Linked DNA regions of Arabidopsis thaliana. The protein of the gene in region 2 interacts with the protein of the main gene of each other region in a pairwise test. Each region holds a gene or a part of one and is shown on either strand. Other genes may lie near its edges. The genes, in order: GUN5, WRKY40 and WRKY38.

Evidence for each region.
Region 1: the proteins of WRKY40 (region 2) and GUN5 interact in a two-hybrid assay, tested with the Arabidopsis thaliana proteins (one study listed by BioGRID).
Region 3: the proteins of WRKY40 (region 2) and WRKY38 interact in binary tests that used the Arabidopsis thaliana proteins (3 or more experiments, as listed by UniProt).

Annotation. Positions count from the first base shown.
Region 1 is NC_003076.8:4,386,617-4,394,551, forward strand, and holds GUN5 (magnesium-chelatase subunit chlH, chloroplast, putative / Mg-protoporphyrin IX chelatase, putative (CHLH)), read right to left. Parts: upstream 5,814-7,935; 5' UTR 5,467-5,813; coding exon 4,062-5,466; intron 3,967-4,061; coding exon 3,884-3,966; intron 3,785-3,883; coding exon 1,982-3,784; intron 1,893-1,981; coding exon 1,416-1,892; coding exon of another isoform or gene 1,412-1,415; intron 1,329-1,411; coding exon 951-1,328; 3' UTR 691-950; downstream 1-690. Other genes in the region: PDAT (phospholipid:diacylglycerol acyltransferase), read left to right, coding at 6,913-7,358.
Region 2 is NC_003070.9:30,381,774-30,386,390, reverse strand, and holds WRKY40 (WRKY DNA-binding protein 40), read right to left. Parts: upstream 2,831-4,617; 5' UTR 2,558-2,830; coding exon 2,471-2,557; intron 2,061-2,470; coding exon 1,719-2,060; intron 1,624-1,718; coding exon 1,507-1,623; intron 1,398-1,506; coding exon 1,035-1,397; 3' UTR 892-1,034; downstream 1-891. Other genes in the region: AT1G80850 (DNA glycosylase superfamily protein), read left to right, coding at 1-8, 106-189, 279-420, 515-784. UniProt on the Arabidopsis thaliana protein: Transcription factor. Interacts specifically with the W box (5'-(T)TGAC[CT]-3'), a frequently occurring elicitor-responsive cis-acting element.
Region 3 is NC_003076.8:7,494,561-7,498,624, forward strand, and holds WRKY38 (WRKY DNA-binding protein 38), read right to left. Parts: upstream 2,431-4,064; 5' UTR 2,148-2,430; coding exon 1,882-2,147; intron 1,739-1,881; coding exon 1,616-1,738; intron 1,529-1,615; coding exon 1,048-1,528; 3' UTR 895-1,047; downstream 1-894. UniProt on the Arabidopsis thaliana protein: Transcription factor. Interacts specifically with the W box (5'-(T)TGAC[CT]-3'), a frequently occurring elicitor-responsive cis-acting element.

The DNA.
Region 1 (7,935 bases), on a different chromosome or scaffold from region 2:
TTTCCATATTATTTTATTTTCTGTCTTCTTGATACTAGTTTTAAACATTCCTATGTATTGTTTCTTGGAGTCCAGTTGTACAGCATTTTATTTATACTATATGGTCTATTCATATATGGCCAAGCAATTTCTTCTCTATGTCATTTAAATAAACTTTTCCAAGGATGTTTTGTTCCATATTGTTTGGTTTCAGAGGCTCAAAGACTTATTGACTTTCTTGAGCTTAAACCTTAGCAAACCAAGACTGAAGTAGTTTGATGCAAAACAGAGTCCAACACATGGAAATGAAACATAATATATGCAGAGAAAAGAACAGAGACTTTGATAGGAGAAAGGTGAGAAAGGAAGAGAGAACACACATAATATTTATGCTAAAGTCTGGGCCGAGTCACATCTCGGAATCCACTAGAATAAGCAAGTTACAAGAGGGAATTCCACAGAGAAAGAGTCTCACACTTGAGATCTCTTCTCTGTTACACTCTCAAGAGAAAAACCAAAGATTACACCTTTTTAATGGCTATCTCTCTCTCTTGCTTGCTTTCTACATTGTATCTCTCTCTTGCTCATTTCCCTTTGCCACGTTCACAGCATAGCTTCATCTTATATATACATGTGAGAACACCTTAGATCTAGTGCTTCTCCAAAACGCTCCACTTTGAATTCACATAAAGACAAATTGTCCTTTCTTGGCGCAAAAGCATGACTCAACCATAGTTTGTTTACACTTAACTATAGTTTCATTTTCTTCGCATATAAAATCCACACATATGAATATGATATAAGAAATGGAGATGAAAGAAGAAGCTCCACAACATTCATATAAAGTCAGAAAATGTCAGCCAAAACATTCTCTTATTCACAGAGAGATGATGTCGTTTGGTAGAATACTGTAATACACAAAAATAAAGTTTTAAGTTCATTTACAAGAAGAAAGGCTTATATCCCATTGTTTATCGATCGATCCCTTCGATCTTGTCTTCCACCTGCGAGTACAATTCCTTGAGCTTCTCTATGTTTTCAGCGGAAGTGTCCCAGTAGCCACGACCATTGGCCTCCAAGAAAGTCTGAAGCATTTTCCTGAAGGAGTTGGGATTGGTGTTCATGAGACGGTTCAGCATCTCCTCGTCTTGGATGAAAGTTGAGTTGGCCTCCTCGTAGACCCAATTGTCTACTTGACCTGACGTTGCACTCCATCCCACAGTGTTGGACAGTCTCTTCTCTATCTCACGAACTCCTTCATATCCACTTGACATCATTCCTTCGTACCACTTTGGATTCAGCAGCTTTGTTCTTGCGTCCAGCCTCACTGTCTCAGATAGTGTCCTCACCTGCCAGATTCAACAAATACCTTAAGGAATGTGTTCTTGCAAGGTAAAACTGATCCCATATATGAACTACAAAGAAAATTCACTCACCTGCGCGTTTGCAGTTGTAGTGTCAGCAATGTAAGAGCTTGGTTTCTTCTTATCCTTCCTCAAACTCTGAACTAGATTTGTAGGGTCAGAATCGAAGTAGTGGCTCACATCAGTCAAAGAAATCTCTGAAGAATCCAGGTTCTGGAAGGTGACTTCTGCAGTGCTAAGAGCCATCTCAAAGACCTGCTTCTTCTCAGCCATTCCTGCTCCAGGAGCATCACTATCAAACGCAAACGATTTGCGGCTCAAGTACATGTCCTGAAGCTGTTTCTCATCGTTCCATGACGAGTTTTCAACAGCAAGACTGATGTTGGCTGAGTATGACCCTGAAGCGTTTGAGAAAACTCTTGTCGCTGCCTCTCTAATATCAATGCCAAGCGCCTCTGCTTGTTCCAACGCGTGTTTCCTTACAAAATTTTGCTCTACAGGCTCATCTAGCTCCGCCACCATCTTGATAGCTCGGTCAAGAAGGTTCATCTGTCAAGATAATTCAAGGAAGAAACACCATGAGAGACCAACCAACAAGAATCTAAATGAAAGAAGAGAGAAAGCTTTTATCTGGTTACCTGGTTGATAAAGAGATCACGGAAGACCCCTGAGCAGTTAACAACTACATCGATCCTCGGCCTTCCTAGTTCTTCTAAGCTCACAGGCTCGACACGGTTCACTCTTCCAAAAGTATCAGCAATTGGTCTCACACCAATCATCCAAAGAACCTGCCCAAGAGACTCCCCATATGTTTTGATGTTGTCAGTTCCCCAAAGAACAAGCGCGATTGTCTCGGGATATTTCCCTTCGTTTTCGAGCTTCTGTCTCTCTACCAACCTCTCAACCACAATCTTGGCACTTGCCATTGCTGCTGTTGTGGGAATAGCCTGAGGATCTAAGGCATGGATGTTTTTACCGGTTGGTAAGACCTTTGGGTTTCTGATGGGATCACCTCCGGGGCCAGGCTCGACGTACTTGCCTTCCAAAGCTTGCATTAGACTCCCTAGTTCGTTGTCCATGACCACCAACTTCAGGCACTCTCCAAGGAAACCAAACACTGTTCTGAGCTTATCTCTGTTCGCCCTGTAGAACTTGGTGTTGGACAAATACTCAACCCATGGCTCATTGATTCCAAACCCAAGAAGCGAGGTAAGCTTGTCAGACACATCCACCACCTGTCCTTTGCTATTTGTTGTTTTTTCCACAAAGGCGGAAACAGCGCCACGTGAGGCATCAGTGATCTCTTTGAGAAGCTCTACATCGCTCAAGATACCCTTGTCGCTTCCTCTGTAAACATCCTCTATCTCCCTTCCAACACACTCAGCTAATATAGAAGGAAGAGCTGAAATCTCATCCTCCGGACGATCTAGAGCAGCAATGTTGACCAGTGTGGCCACAGCTTCCATGGCGGATGGAGGCTCTCCAATGACGTGAAGCCCGCACGGCAAAAGCCTTGATTCAATCTCCATAATCTTGGAATAAACTTTCCCAACCACAGAATCTCTGTCTTTAGGTGACAACTCCAAGCCTTCATCTGGAAGATCCACATCCTTATCAAGATTACATTGCTTAGCTGTGCTGATGATGGAACTGACGATCTGTGGACCTCTCCCCGTGTCCTTCAGAGACTGATAGGACGATATCAGCTCACTCAACTGCTTCAGCCCTTTGTATAGACCAGCATTCTCAGCTGGAGGAGTCAAATAACTGATGGTGTTGGCATAACTTCTCCTCTTTGCAATGGTAGCTTCAGAGGGATTGTTAGCTGCATAATAGTAGACATTGGGAATGTTCCCGATAAGACTGTCGGGAAAACAAGCATCACTCATTCCCACTTGCTTCCCGGGCATAAACTCGAGAGAACCATGTGTTCCAAAATGAAGAACAGCATCAGCTTTGAAGATCTTTTCTACATAAGAGTAGTAAGCAGCAAAACCGTGATGAGGACTTGCTGACTTGGAGAAAAGCAGCCTCATGGGATCACCTTCATACCCAAATGTTGGTTGCACTCCGATGAAAACATTACCGTACGCTTTTCCATAGACAAGAAGGTTCTCTCCATCTGAGTTAAGGTTCCCCGGAGGTTTCCCCCAGTTTTCTTCCAGGGCATTTGCATAAGGAGTGAGGTCTTGGTACTCACGGACTCCCATTTTGTAAGCTACATTGAGGTTAGGGCTGCTGAACTGAGCCTCCTTGTCATGAATGATTTCTTCAATAAGAGTCTCTGCATTCTCAGGAAGGCCTTCAACATTGTAGCCATCTCTCTTGAGGTCTCTTAACACCGAGAAGATGGAAGCAAACACATTGAGGTAAGCTGCAGTCCCTACATTACCTTTATCAGGTGGGAAACTGAAAACAGTGATTGCCAGCTTCTTCTCTGCCTGCAATGAGCCAGAGTTGATTCATGAGAACATACATTACATTCTTGAGAAAGTCATGAAGGAATGTGATTTCACTAAGGATGAGTGGTAATACAATACCTTAGTTTTTCTTTTGAGCTCACCCCATCGAATCGCTCTGATGCAGAGTTGCTCCACTCTCTTGTGGAGAGCATGTGACTTCCCTGCAGCAATTGGTAAACCACCTCCATAAGAAAACATTCCCACTCTTGCGTAATGACAATCATGAAAAATGCAATATGGTCATAAGTGGACTAACCTGTTCTAGGGTCACGACCAGCGAAAACGATTGGCTCCATCGCTCCATCAAGCTCAGGGAGGGCAACCTGCAGAGCCACCTGGATGGGATGCAGACCAAGTGTGCTGTTTAGCCATTCCTCTGTCGTCTGGAACACCAGTGGTACTGCCACAAGGTAAGGAACATCGAGCTTTTTCAGGGCTTCGATAGCCCTGGGATGATCCTGCCTTGCAGGTCCACCAACAAGAGCAAAACCAGTCAAGGAGACAGCAGAGTTTACGATGGGCTGTTTCGACACCGGGTCTACGAAATATTTCTCTACTGGACCAGAGAAATCCAACCCTCCTGCGAATATAGGAACGACCTTAGCACCTCTAGCCTCAAGCTCCATGATAACAGCCACATAGTGACTATCATCACCAGTCACAATGTGACTCCTCTGCAAGACTAAACCGACAACCGTTGCATCTTTCCTCTTGAGTGAGTCATTGGTGTCCCTTCTAGTGTCATACCAGTTCCAGTACTCCTTCACATCATCGTACATGGTTGGAGCAAGTGGATGCCAAATTCCAGTATCCAAGAACAAAACCGGATCCGAATACTCGATTTTGACACCTTTCAAAGCCGGAACATAAGATCCAGAAATCATCTTAACAAAATTCTGAAGATTATCAGGAGAGCCTCCAAGCCAAAACTGTAAACTCAAGATGTAGAGACGAGCATCTTGAGCCTTGTCACTAGGTAAGTACTTCAAAACCTTAGGCAAAGTCCTAACAAGCTTCAACATACTATCGGCAAAACCAGCAGAGCCTTGTTTCTTCCTCTTGAAGAGTTGGAAAAACGGAGACTTTGACTGACCCAATTGAGACATACTAAAAGATCCAAGCTTGTTCAGTCTCATTACCTCAGGCATTGAAGGGAAGACAAGAACTGCGTCCATCCTGTCTCTCTCCTTCTCCACCGCATCCTTAACTTTAATCGCCAATTCCTCGACGAAGATCAGAGAACCAATGAAGATGTTGGCGTCTTTAAGGTCTTCGCAGAAGTTGTTGTAAGTGTTCTTGTCTCTAAGCTCCTCGACCAAGTATCCAACCACTTCGTAGGATGCGAATCTCGAAGTCTTGTTGAGAGATTGCACGGCTTCACTGAGAGAAGACTGGTACTGAGCCTCGAGGACGACGTAGACGATTTTCACCGTCGGAACGTTGTCTCTCTTGATCGGAACTATACGACGGACCTCCGGGTTCGTCTGTGTGAAGAGGCCGTTTCCAGATACAGCAGATTTCACCTTGAAGAAAGATTTGGCTGGTTTGGTTGATCTGTGTTTCTTCCGGAGGAAAGAATGTTTGGTACTGTTAGTGAGCGAAGAGAGATGCTCTGCTTTAGAAGTGGATAGAGTGAATGGAGAATACACAAGCGAAGCCATTTTGCGGCTGCTGGATTCTCCAAACGTTGAATTCGAAGAGGAGAGGATAGGAGAAGAGATGAATCGTTTTTTGTTGGTTGTCTCTTACACTTTTTGAGCTCCAAGTGGGAGTTTATGATTCTCTCATCGGTAAACGCTTCGGACCAAGGAACTAAAAAAGAAGCGTTGGTTTTGAAGGTAAGTGGTGAGAGGGAAGGACACGTGGACGAATAGTTACGGAAGAAGGGAGAGTCTACTTGTGAGGTTGAGTTTTGTCGGATGTATATCCGCTTGGGACAATGAGATGGACTTTGCTGGCCTCTGATTGGCTCATTGAGATTTCTATTCATATTTTCATGGTTTGGGAGTGTGGATATTGAGTGTCTTATTTTCTTTACTTATTTGACAAGTATTTTTATGTTGCTCTCTTGAAGATCGTATTTGCGGTTTCAGCCATGTAAAAGATTCTTTTCCGATGACGACACTTTTACTAGGCATATTCGTCGGGTAGCCGGTTTAATCCGGTCTAGATTTTGTATAATTTTTGGTTCAGCTAGGTCTGGTTTGATATTTTTCTACTTATTTCTTAAAAACTGGCTTTAATCTTTTAAGGTAAACTCAGGATTTTTCTTTGAAAACGAAATTTGAAATATCAGACTCATAACAATTGTAACAACAAATGTAAAAGTTAAAACACTCTAAAATGTACTCAAAATTTTGATCATCATCATCACTATTTTTTTTATAATAAATGGATGTAAAAACTTATCATGTTTCAATATTTAAAACTTTTTTTTTTTTCAATATTTAAAACTTACATAAAATATATAATTAAAAGAAAGTTTATGAATTAGAATATTAAGTTATATGTAATTAAATGGAGCAATACATGTAGCCTACTAGTATTGTTGTTGCATGAGTTGCATCATATTCGAAGATATACAATATGTTTTTTTGATATAAGAGTACCGCTTCATTCTCTTTTTTTTTTTTGTCATTTCCCAAGTGTAATATTGTTATTAATACATGGGCTATACTAAAAGCCCCACGAAAAGTTTACTGAACTATTTGAGGCCCAACAAGAGCCTATCGGATTAACGCCTACTGCAGAAGAAAATCTGTCTGCACTCCACCCAAGAAAACGCAGACTAATTAATGAAATCAACGAAACGGATAGGTCGGGTCTAAGGTTGACCATGAACCGCAACCTGAACCAGGAGCAAAGTGGTCAAGTTTTGCCATCCGGTCCGAGTCCCTTGGAGGAATAATACCAGAACAGAAAAAAACAGAAAAGTCGACAATAAACAAAAGAGACAAATTTGATTTGATTGGTTCCAGAAATTCGCAGAGAAACAGCTCTTTGTCTCTCTCGACTGATCTAACAATCCCTAATCTGTGTTCTAAATTCCTGGACGAGATTTGACAAAGTCCGTATAGCTTAACCTGGTTTAATTTCAAGTGACAGATATGCCCCTTATTCATCGGAAAAAGCCGACGGAGAAACCATCGACGCCGCCATCTGAAGAGGTGGTGCACGATGAGGATTCGCAAAAGAAACCACACGAATCTTCCAAATCCCACCATAAGAAATCGAACGGAGGAGGGAAGTGGTCGTGCATCGATTCTTGTTGTTGGTTCATTGGGTGTGTGTGTGTAACCTGGTGGTTTCTTCTCTTCCTTTACAACGCAATGCCTGCGAGCTTCCCTCAGTATGTAACGGAGCGAATCACGGGTCCTTTGCCTGACCCGCCCGGTGTTAAGCTCAAAAAAGAAGGTCTTAAGGCGAAACATCCTGTTGTCTTCATTCCTGGGATTGTCACCGGTGGGCTCGAGCTTTGGGAAGGCAAACAATGCGCTGATGGTTTATTTAGAAAACGTTTGTGGGGTGGAACTTTTGGTGAAGTCTACAAAAGGTGAGCTCAACAATTCTCACTCTTCCTTTATATTGGGATTTGGATTGGATCTGATGAGATCACGCACTTGTTGCTTCTTCAACATCACTCAAACTTTAATTCCATGTTTGTCTGTCTTACTCTTTACTTTTTTTTTTTTTTGATGTGAAACGCTATTTTCTTAAGAGACTATTTCTGTATGTGTAAGGTAAGCGTTCCAAGGACGTAATTGGCTTGGACTATTTCTGTTTGATTGTTAACTTTAGGATATAAAATAGCTGCCTTGGAATTTCAAGTCATCTTATTGCCAAATCTGTTGCTAGACATGCCCTAGAGTCCGTTCATAACAAGTTACTTCCTTTACTGTCGTTGCGTGTAGATTTAGCTTTGTGTAGCGTATAATGAAGTAGTGTTTTATGTTTTGTTGGGAATAGAGAAGTTCTAACTACATCTGTGGAAAGTGTGTTCAGGCTGTGATAGAGGACTGTTGCTTTATTATTCAACTATGTATATGTGTAATTAAAGCTAGTTCCTTTTTGATCTTTCAGCTCAATGTGCTTTTCTCAATTTTTTTCTCAATTTCAAAGTTTCACATCGA
Region 2 (4,617 bases):
GATGACAAGTACGTGATATTTTCTCTTTATACTGACTTATGTTTTACTGACCAGAGGGATGCTTTTTTGGACTATACACTCTCTTATTCAGTGAATTGTTTGCAGGAGACTTTTCGAGTTATTAAGCTTGTCTGGTGCTCTTGCTGAACTATCTTGGAAAGACATTCTTTCCAAAAGACAACTATTCAGGTAACTAGTACCAACGCTGTTGTGGTTACATCTTCTGACTTCTCCTTATGAGCTCGAATCTCGAAATGCTTTTGCCTTGTGTTAAACAGGGAGGTTTTCATGGACTTTGATCCAATTGCAATATCTGAATTAACAAATAAAAAGATAACATCCCCTGAGATTGCTGCCACCACGTTACTATCAGAGCAAAAGCTACGGTCAATCCTCGAGAATGCTAACCAAGTTTGCAAGGTAATATATCACCTATAAGCCTGATCATAGTTTCTGTGTTTCTTAACAACATTACCTTTTTTTTTCTTACTGTTATTGGTTTTCTCAAATGCAGATAATAGGTGCATTTGGATCATTTGACAAGTACATTTGGAACTTCGTTAACCAGAAACCTACTCAGAGCCAATTCCGGTACCCACGTCAAGTCCCTGTGAAGACTTCGAAAGCCGAGTTGATAAGCAAAGATCTTGTACGCAGAGGTTTTCGCAGTGTAAGTCCAACGGTTATTTACTCGTTCATGCAAACAGCTGGTCTCACAAACGACCATCTCACTTGCTGCTTCAGACACCATGACTGCATGACAAAGGACGAGACTGGTAATTAAAGAAAAACCAAGAGAGAATAGTTTTAACTCTGTGCTGCTTAGGATGCTGTTGTGCTGTGTTTGCATTTGTACAGATATTTTTGTTGTTGTTGTCAAACTAGGAGGAGTTTCTAAAGCCGAATGTATTGGAGATTGTATGAAAAACGATTACATGTTACATTTTCAGTATCACAATGGATTATAATCTACTCTCTTTCTCTTACTCATGACAAATTCAAATCTAAAAACTCTAACGGAATTTGAAGCTAAACTATTTCTCGGTATGATTCTGTTGATACAATTTTCCGGTAACAGCTGCTGCTAAAGCTGCTGTAAAGTTAGGATCTTTGGTTAAGGAAGAAGCCATTTGCTCCACCAAAAGTTTCTGAACTTGGGGAAAATCGATTCTTGACGTTGGGCTCGTCACTTTCTTCGATTCAATCATATCTACGGTAGTCACCGGCACAGTCAAGCTACTTCTTCTGTTTGCTGCAACGGGTGTTGAAGCTGAACCACCATGAGAGATGTGGCGGTTTAAGCCATTGTTTGAATCGATCTGCGATGGCATTGGATGGTTGTGTTCACCCTCATAAGTTGCAACTAACACGGACTGATCCTCCACACTTCTCTGAACCTGAATAGAAACAAACACAGGATCAAAATCAGATTAATAAGTCTATCAAATTTGTATTATGCCAATTCATATTTTAAGCGAGAGTCAGTTTTTTTTCTTTATCAATTACCTTCTTTTTGACAGAACAGCTTGGAGCACAAGCACATTTGAAGTAAGCTCTTGGAGATGGATTGTCTCTAGTCACTTTCTGTCCATATTTCCTCCATTGATACCCATCTTTCACAACCTATAAGAAACAACTTCTACAATCAGTAAACCATATAAAATAAAGTTTCTAAAGATAGATAGATACCAAGTTTGATCATTTTCATGAATGCTTACGAGGGTAGTGTCAGAAGCTTCGGTCTTGTAATAGACCCTTGAGACTTTCTCCTTCACGACAGTCTCTTCTCTCTGCTTCTTACACAAATACTCATCTTGATCCGTTGAGCTACTCTCCGACACTCCGCCAATAACCGCGCAGCTGAATGCGTCCTCTCTCGCCGGGGATTTGCGTTTCTTGGGAGGGCTGATTTGATCCCTCTCGGTTATGTTGCTCTTGTTAACATATTCCATAAGTTGCTTCCTCAAGACGTTGTAGTTGTCACACATCAAAGTTAGCATCTCCGAGAGCTTCTTGTTCTCAGCACTAACTCGGTTTAATTCTTCCACCAAAGCACTTGTCTGCAATTTATCATTTATATATATATATATATATATATATATATTGCATGAAGTTAGTAACCATATTATTTTCTTCATACTATAAGTTTAATATGATTTTATGATCTAGCGTTACATCTATATTTCAAGAACCCACCACATGAATTACTAACGAATTTTTCTTGTTGTTAAAGTTTATGCCAATTATATATAAAAATATTTGTGAAGTATAAGAAAATATCTATGTTTATAGATTATACATCTGAAAAAAATGTCTATGGATAGTTGAGTTAGTTTATATATTTTCAAAACCAACCGAATTGAAAAATGTAAGTGTATAATACATAATGATGAGATACTAGATTAAAAAGCTCCATGATAATTGAAAATTTCTGAACATGTGGAGAATGAAGAATCTGAGAGAAGCGTACCGGTGGATCTTCTTCAACTCGCATACGAGTAACGCCAATAGTGAGATCTAATGAAGTATCGACCAAAGAGGATGAGTACTGATCCATGTAAATATATGTAGGATGAATCTTCGATATGGGTTCTTGTGGATGTATATGTGTGGAAGTTCCCGTAAGCTGAGGAAGAAAGTTGAGAGAGATTCGAAGTAAGAGTCGATCTTGGGTTCTTCTTTTTTAATGGTGGGATTGTTGAAGAGAGAAAAGATTTTGTTTCTATATATAATGGAGTTTTAAGAGGAAACTAGATGGAAAGAGGCAGAAGAGAGAGAGAGGAGCATGTGCTTTTCATTTTCATGCAATAAACTAAGTGATGGTCTTATCATTTTTTGTTTACTTTTTAGTCTTTAGACTCAACTCGGCTTCTATCGGGTCCACCCGCACACGTATTTGGTCCAATCTTTAGTCCCAATTTTGTTTAAGAAAAACATATTGGAAACATATGAAATGTATTCTTGATTTTAATTTTGGATAGTTGGTTGACATTCTTATTTTTTTTGTTAAACAAACATTTGGTGTGTGATTGGCCTACTAATAATATGACGCTCTCCACGTTTGTTTTTCATTTTGGATAGTTGGTTGACATTTCTGTCGGGTTAGTTGCTTTTATTTATTTTTCGTTATAGCATAGCCGGCCTAAACTCAAGGTTAATATTTTCAGAATATGTAGTTTTGTAATTCAAGACATCCATCAAGAACTCACCCAAAAAGAGTAAAAATAATCAAGAATTGTTAAACAAGCCTAATGTGTAATTAAATACATATGTTGTATATCATCTTAGATTTTTCAGACAATAATTATGTTGTTTAGATAACTTGATGCATGGAGTGACAAAAAAAAAGATAACTTGATGCATAAAGTCATAAAATCAGGACTACAAATGACATGTGGGATAAAAGAAATGGTTGATTACATGTATAATAATAATGAAATGTAGTAAAGGCGTGCTTAATTAGGAAGTTTAATACTTCTATTTGTGAATTAATTAGCACGTTTGACAAAAAAAATGACAACTAGTTGGTGATAGTAATAGACTAATAGTATATTAAGAGTGTGCGGAACGTGGTTTGCGTTCTAATGAGAGATTTCTTCAGTAGTACTAGATGTATACGTGTGCCTTGTTCGGTCAAAGTCAAGCCCACACGGCTTTTCAAAATCCACTAGACAAATTGACGATACCATCGTGACGATTTTTTTTTTTTTTCCTTTTTTCTTGACATCAATATCGTGACGAACTTTAACAAATCTTAATTGCCTTCTTCCTTCTTTTGGTTTTCAGAACACCAATTATGTTTACTTAAATAAAAAGAAGGAAAATCCGAACTTTTATCATTCCGCTGATTTTTCAGAATATAGTTAGATGTCCAATGCTAAAGTTTGCACAATTACAAACAAAATATTTTCTTATATATAACGAATTACCACTCGACTAATTTTTCCATTAAAAATTTAGATATCGAGTACCAAAGCTTGCAAAAATACAACCAACTACATCTATAAATATTACTTTATATTTGGTTTAAGTCGAGTTAATCAAGTGAGTGGTGCTAAACCATTTTCCTACATATATTACTATTACACTTAATTCGTGTTATGATAATTATTAGTAGCTGTTAAATTCTCACACTATATATTAAATAATAATTTTGTTACTTCGATTTTCTCAAACTAAAATCTATTTAGTTGTTTGTTTTTGGATCAGCATACGTATTTTCTTAAAAGTCATGCACAAATTTGGCTACCGAACTTTATCAAAATCTCAGTGTCCTTCCTTTTTTCCTTCCCCCCCCCCTCCCCACTTATTTTGCCGTTAACGATTCAAAAATGTCGCAATGTTATAGATTTGGGTTTGGAGATAACAGAACATATAGACGACAAACTTATCCATTTATCTGAAATAGTAACTTGACTTAACTATATGGAATCGCTTAATCCCATATGCCGATCATTTTGGACTTTCTCATGCATTACATCATCATATATTATTTCTTTCTTTCATATCTCATTTTACAGTCGAACCTATAAGTAATTTATATTTGATATTCGAATTTGGTTTAGCACAAACCAGGACTGTACCTATTCTTGTAATTGTGAATAATAAAATCTTAAT
Region 3 (4,064 bases), on a different chromosome or scaffold from region 2:
TTTTCTAGTTTCTTTATCCTTTCAATGTGTCAAGCTTCATTTTCTATTAATCATTTTGAATAGACCGAACGCAAGAAGATGTGTGTGCTTCGGCCAATAGCAAGAAAAATCAAACCCTTGTAAATATTACATTTTCTCAAACAAATCCGGTTTTACATATTCTACTTCTGCTCCAAATATGAAAAATACTTCGGTTCAAATCCGGTTCACCCTCAGGAATTTAAACTTTGTTATTCACCCTATTTTATTTTGCTAATCATAATATACCACTTAATTAAAAATATTAAATTATAAAAATTAATTTGCCACCAAAAACAGTTATATATTAGTTTGAGTTTATAAGAAAATAGTTAAGATTAAAATTTAATAATTAAACAAGATAAAATATAGGTTTGAGTTTATAAACGAGTTTAGATTTTTTTCAACTAGATGAGGTTAATTGTTGGTATGAGTTTATAAAAAGGTTTACATTTTACATTTTTAAACGAGGTTAAATATATCAATTTGGGTTTAGAAAAAATGGTTAGGATTATAGACGTTAAAACTAAACGAGGTTAAATGTTGGTATGAGTTTGTAAAGGAGAATTATGGTTTAGTTTGTAAATAAACGAGGTCAAATTAAATGTTGGGTTTGGTTTATAAACATATTTAGATTTTACAATTAAACGAGGTTAAATGTGAGTTTGGGATTAGAAAGAATGGTTAGAATTTATATTTTACAATTAAACAAGGTTAAAATGTCGGTTTTGAGCTTTTAAAGATGAATGAGAGTTTAGATTTTATAATTAAACGAGATTATAGATCGATTTAGGTTTACACAAAAAGTGGTTGAAATTTATATTTTATAATCAAATGAATTTTTAATTTATTTATTAGATGATAGAGTTTTATTGGCCGGAAATAAACTCTTAGGGGTGAATATAAATATTGTTCTCGGATTATCTAATCAATAACATAAATACTTAAATAGTCACAATTCTCAAATATATACAATCTCATAAAAAGGAAAACATTATTAAATAGTTTTAGCTGAAAAATCTAGTGCAATCAAAAGTAAAACTGATCATAACGATCCCACGAGTCTGGGTTGTCAAATAACAAATCAGAATTAAAGTCAGCACTTTCACTGCCAGATGACGATGAAGGAGGATAAGAGCCTGATGGTGATGATAGATATTCTTCTATAACATCTTGACAATCTTGGTCATTACTGGTTATCTCACGGTACTGATCTATAGCTTGCTCTTTGATGATATCTTCTTCATGCTTAACCGATAAGGAGAAACCGTTCGAGCGGCTTTCCTTCTCCTGATCCTGATCTTTTCCGAATCGGATCATTTGGGTACTTTTAAAGTCATCTAGGGGATCTTGTCCGGCAATAAAAATGGCATCTAGATTATGTTCGGTTTTGCAAGTGTGGTGGCCAAAGTAAGTGGTTCGGTAAACCGGAGGATTGTCTTTGATCTTTTGTTCATGCTTTCTTGCTTCGCAGTTATGATCTTTGTTGTAAGAACATCTATAGTAACTCCTGTTACCATCATCATACACCAATTAGTATGAGTGATCGGGATAGAAATAATTATGATGAAATATGATTAGCTATACTATTTCTTACCTTTGGTGATTAGATTTTTTTATACTCTTTTGACCATATTTCCTCCAAAGATACCCGTCGTAGTAAATCGGATCCGGTGAATCGTCCCTCCAATTCTCACTTGAATTTGTACTATCAATCTTTCTGCAAACATGAGTATTATCAAAATATTAGCATTAAAATCAACATATACTCCTAAGAAAAAAAATACTTATATTAAGAATTGTGGTTTCATTTGGAAAAACAAAAACAAACTCAAAAAAGAAAACAAACTCATAAGTGTATACCTTTTCTTGGAGGGGCTCCCCTGTGGAGGAGGAGAAGAATCCCTAGAAGATAAATCAGAAAACTGATCATCTTCGGTTTCTGGTTTAGCAGATAAGATTGAAATGGCATTGGAAAAACTTTCAACGATCGATTTAGCAAGATCATAACTTGAAAGCGGTCCACCATCAGCCATTGGATGGTTGAGCCGCCTCTTCAACCGCATGGCGCAGCTATGGCCATAACGGATAGCTTGCACCGCCTTTTCGTGTGGGGAGTTCATTTCCATAGAGTATAGTGAACTTGTGTGTGTGTGTATGTGTTTCTTGTTTGTTTTCTTTTTCTCAAGTCTCTTCTCTGTGCTATAAACTTTTGAACGGATAGGGAGATCAGAATTTATAGGACTAGTCGTACATACACGTTCCCAAATGACTTTGCCAATTTGGGTTTACCAAATATAATTTACATACACTAGGTTATATTTTAAGAAGCCAATGATAAATTATAATTTCGATATAGGACATGTGCTCTGCTAGACTTATATGCGTGAATCTAAATAAAGAGAGACAAAAAGATAGATTAGGTGTTGACATTAGCATATGATCTGTCATGATGTATAGGAAACAGAGTTTATTTTATATACCTTTCCCAGTACGCGGCTCACTTAATTATATACAATCTGTTTTTAATTGTTTCAGAATTTATCTGTTTCTCTTATTACACTAATCTACGCGGTTCGCTTAATAATTAAAGATTAAAAATTAAAAACTACTCCTTTCAGAACACTAAAAGGTTTCAAGATAGGAGGAATCTAATAGAAAACTGTGTTCTACAAAGTCAGATATATTAGAGAGAGATATGAGCTATGATAAACCCCAAATTAGCAATGATTTTAAAATTTTCTTTTGTAATCTTTCCATTTCAATATGTGTCGCAATTTTTTTTATTTTTTTTTTGAAAATATATAGCAGATGAAATTTAAGAATAAATTTGTTTGCTTAATTTTGTTGATTGTATATCGTTAAATATTTTTTATTTAATATTTTGATAGGTGGTTTTAATTATAATTTATACGGTAACTAATAATATAGAGTTTTGAAAATAATATATTTTACGTTCATATGACAAAAAAAAACAAATGTATGTAATAGATTGGATGTTCACAAAAAAAAAAAGTATAACATATTTTACACGTCCATCGCAATGTTTACCTCATCAAAGATGAAACGTGTACAAATAATGTTTTTTTGCTCAATATAATAAGCTTCGAACACATATGATATGATCAATTCATTTTTTTGTAATGAAAATACTCCACTAGTCGTGGATATCTTTAATGGTAAAATTATCTAATTTTTTGGTGAGTTTTGGTTCAGATTTTAAATAAAAATGTAAGTATTTAGACCAGACAAAAGATAATTATTAGGTAATAGAATAACATTAACAAGTAAGATCTAGACAATTTTTCAACGCTTAAAGAGAGAAATAATTGCGATGTAGCTGGCGAGTGGCGACTAATGCACCAATGAAAACGGCATTAGTTTCGTCGGACACTCGACGTCAGCCCCATGACGTAGTTTTTGTTGAAGGGGCTGATTCAGCAGATTGACGTCAGAACGAAGCAGCAATGTTGATTATATTATATACTAACAACAACTAGTCAACTATGCCGTGATGTGAGATTCATTCGTTGGCTACTCGGTCCATATTTTAATTTAATCTAAAATTTTAAGAATTTATAATTAATAAGCTTTGCAAAAGATAACTGGTAATCTTGAATCCTTTTTCTTTAGGTAAACTTGAATCTTATATGAAAGAAAAATTAGTAATTACATTTTAAGCGGATAAAATGATATAATATACGTACAAAAGCTTGTTTTGAATATATAGTATAATCTGAAAGCTAACCAATCCAAGTTATACAATCATATTTTAAAACTAATAGATGGTCAATCCAAAACAATTTATCCTTATCAGATTGTATACATCGATGGTATTTTCAGGCCATGAATTAACACCATTCATGAAACTATACAACAAATTACAAAGTTTGTAAAGAATGTTAAGTTCTATCTACCCATCAATTTAACAACCCTATCTTCTTCTGCGGGTGGTTAATGTAAATTGATAGATATCAACACATAAGAGATATATATATATATATATATATATATATATATATATATAAACTTTCGCACGTGACTTT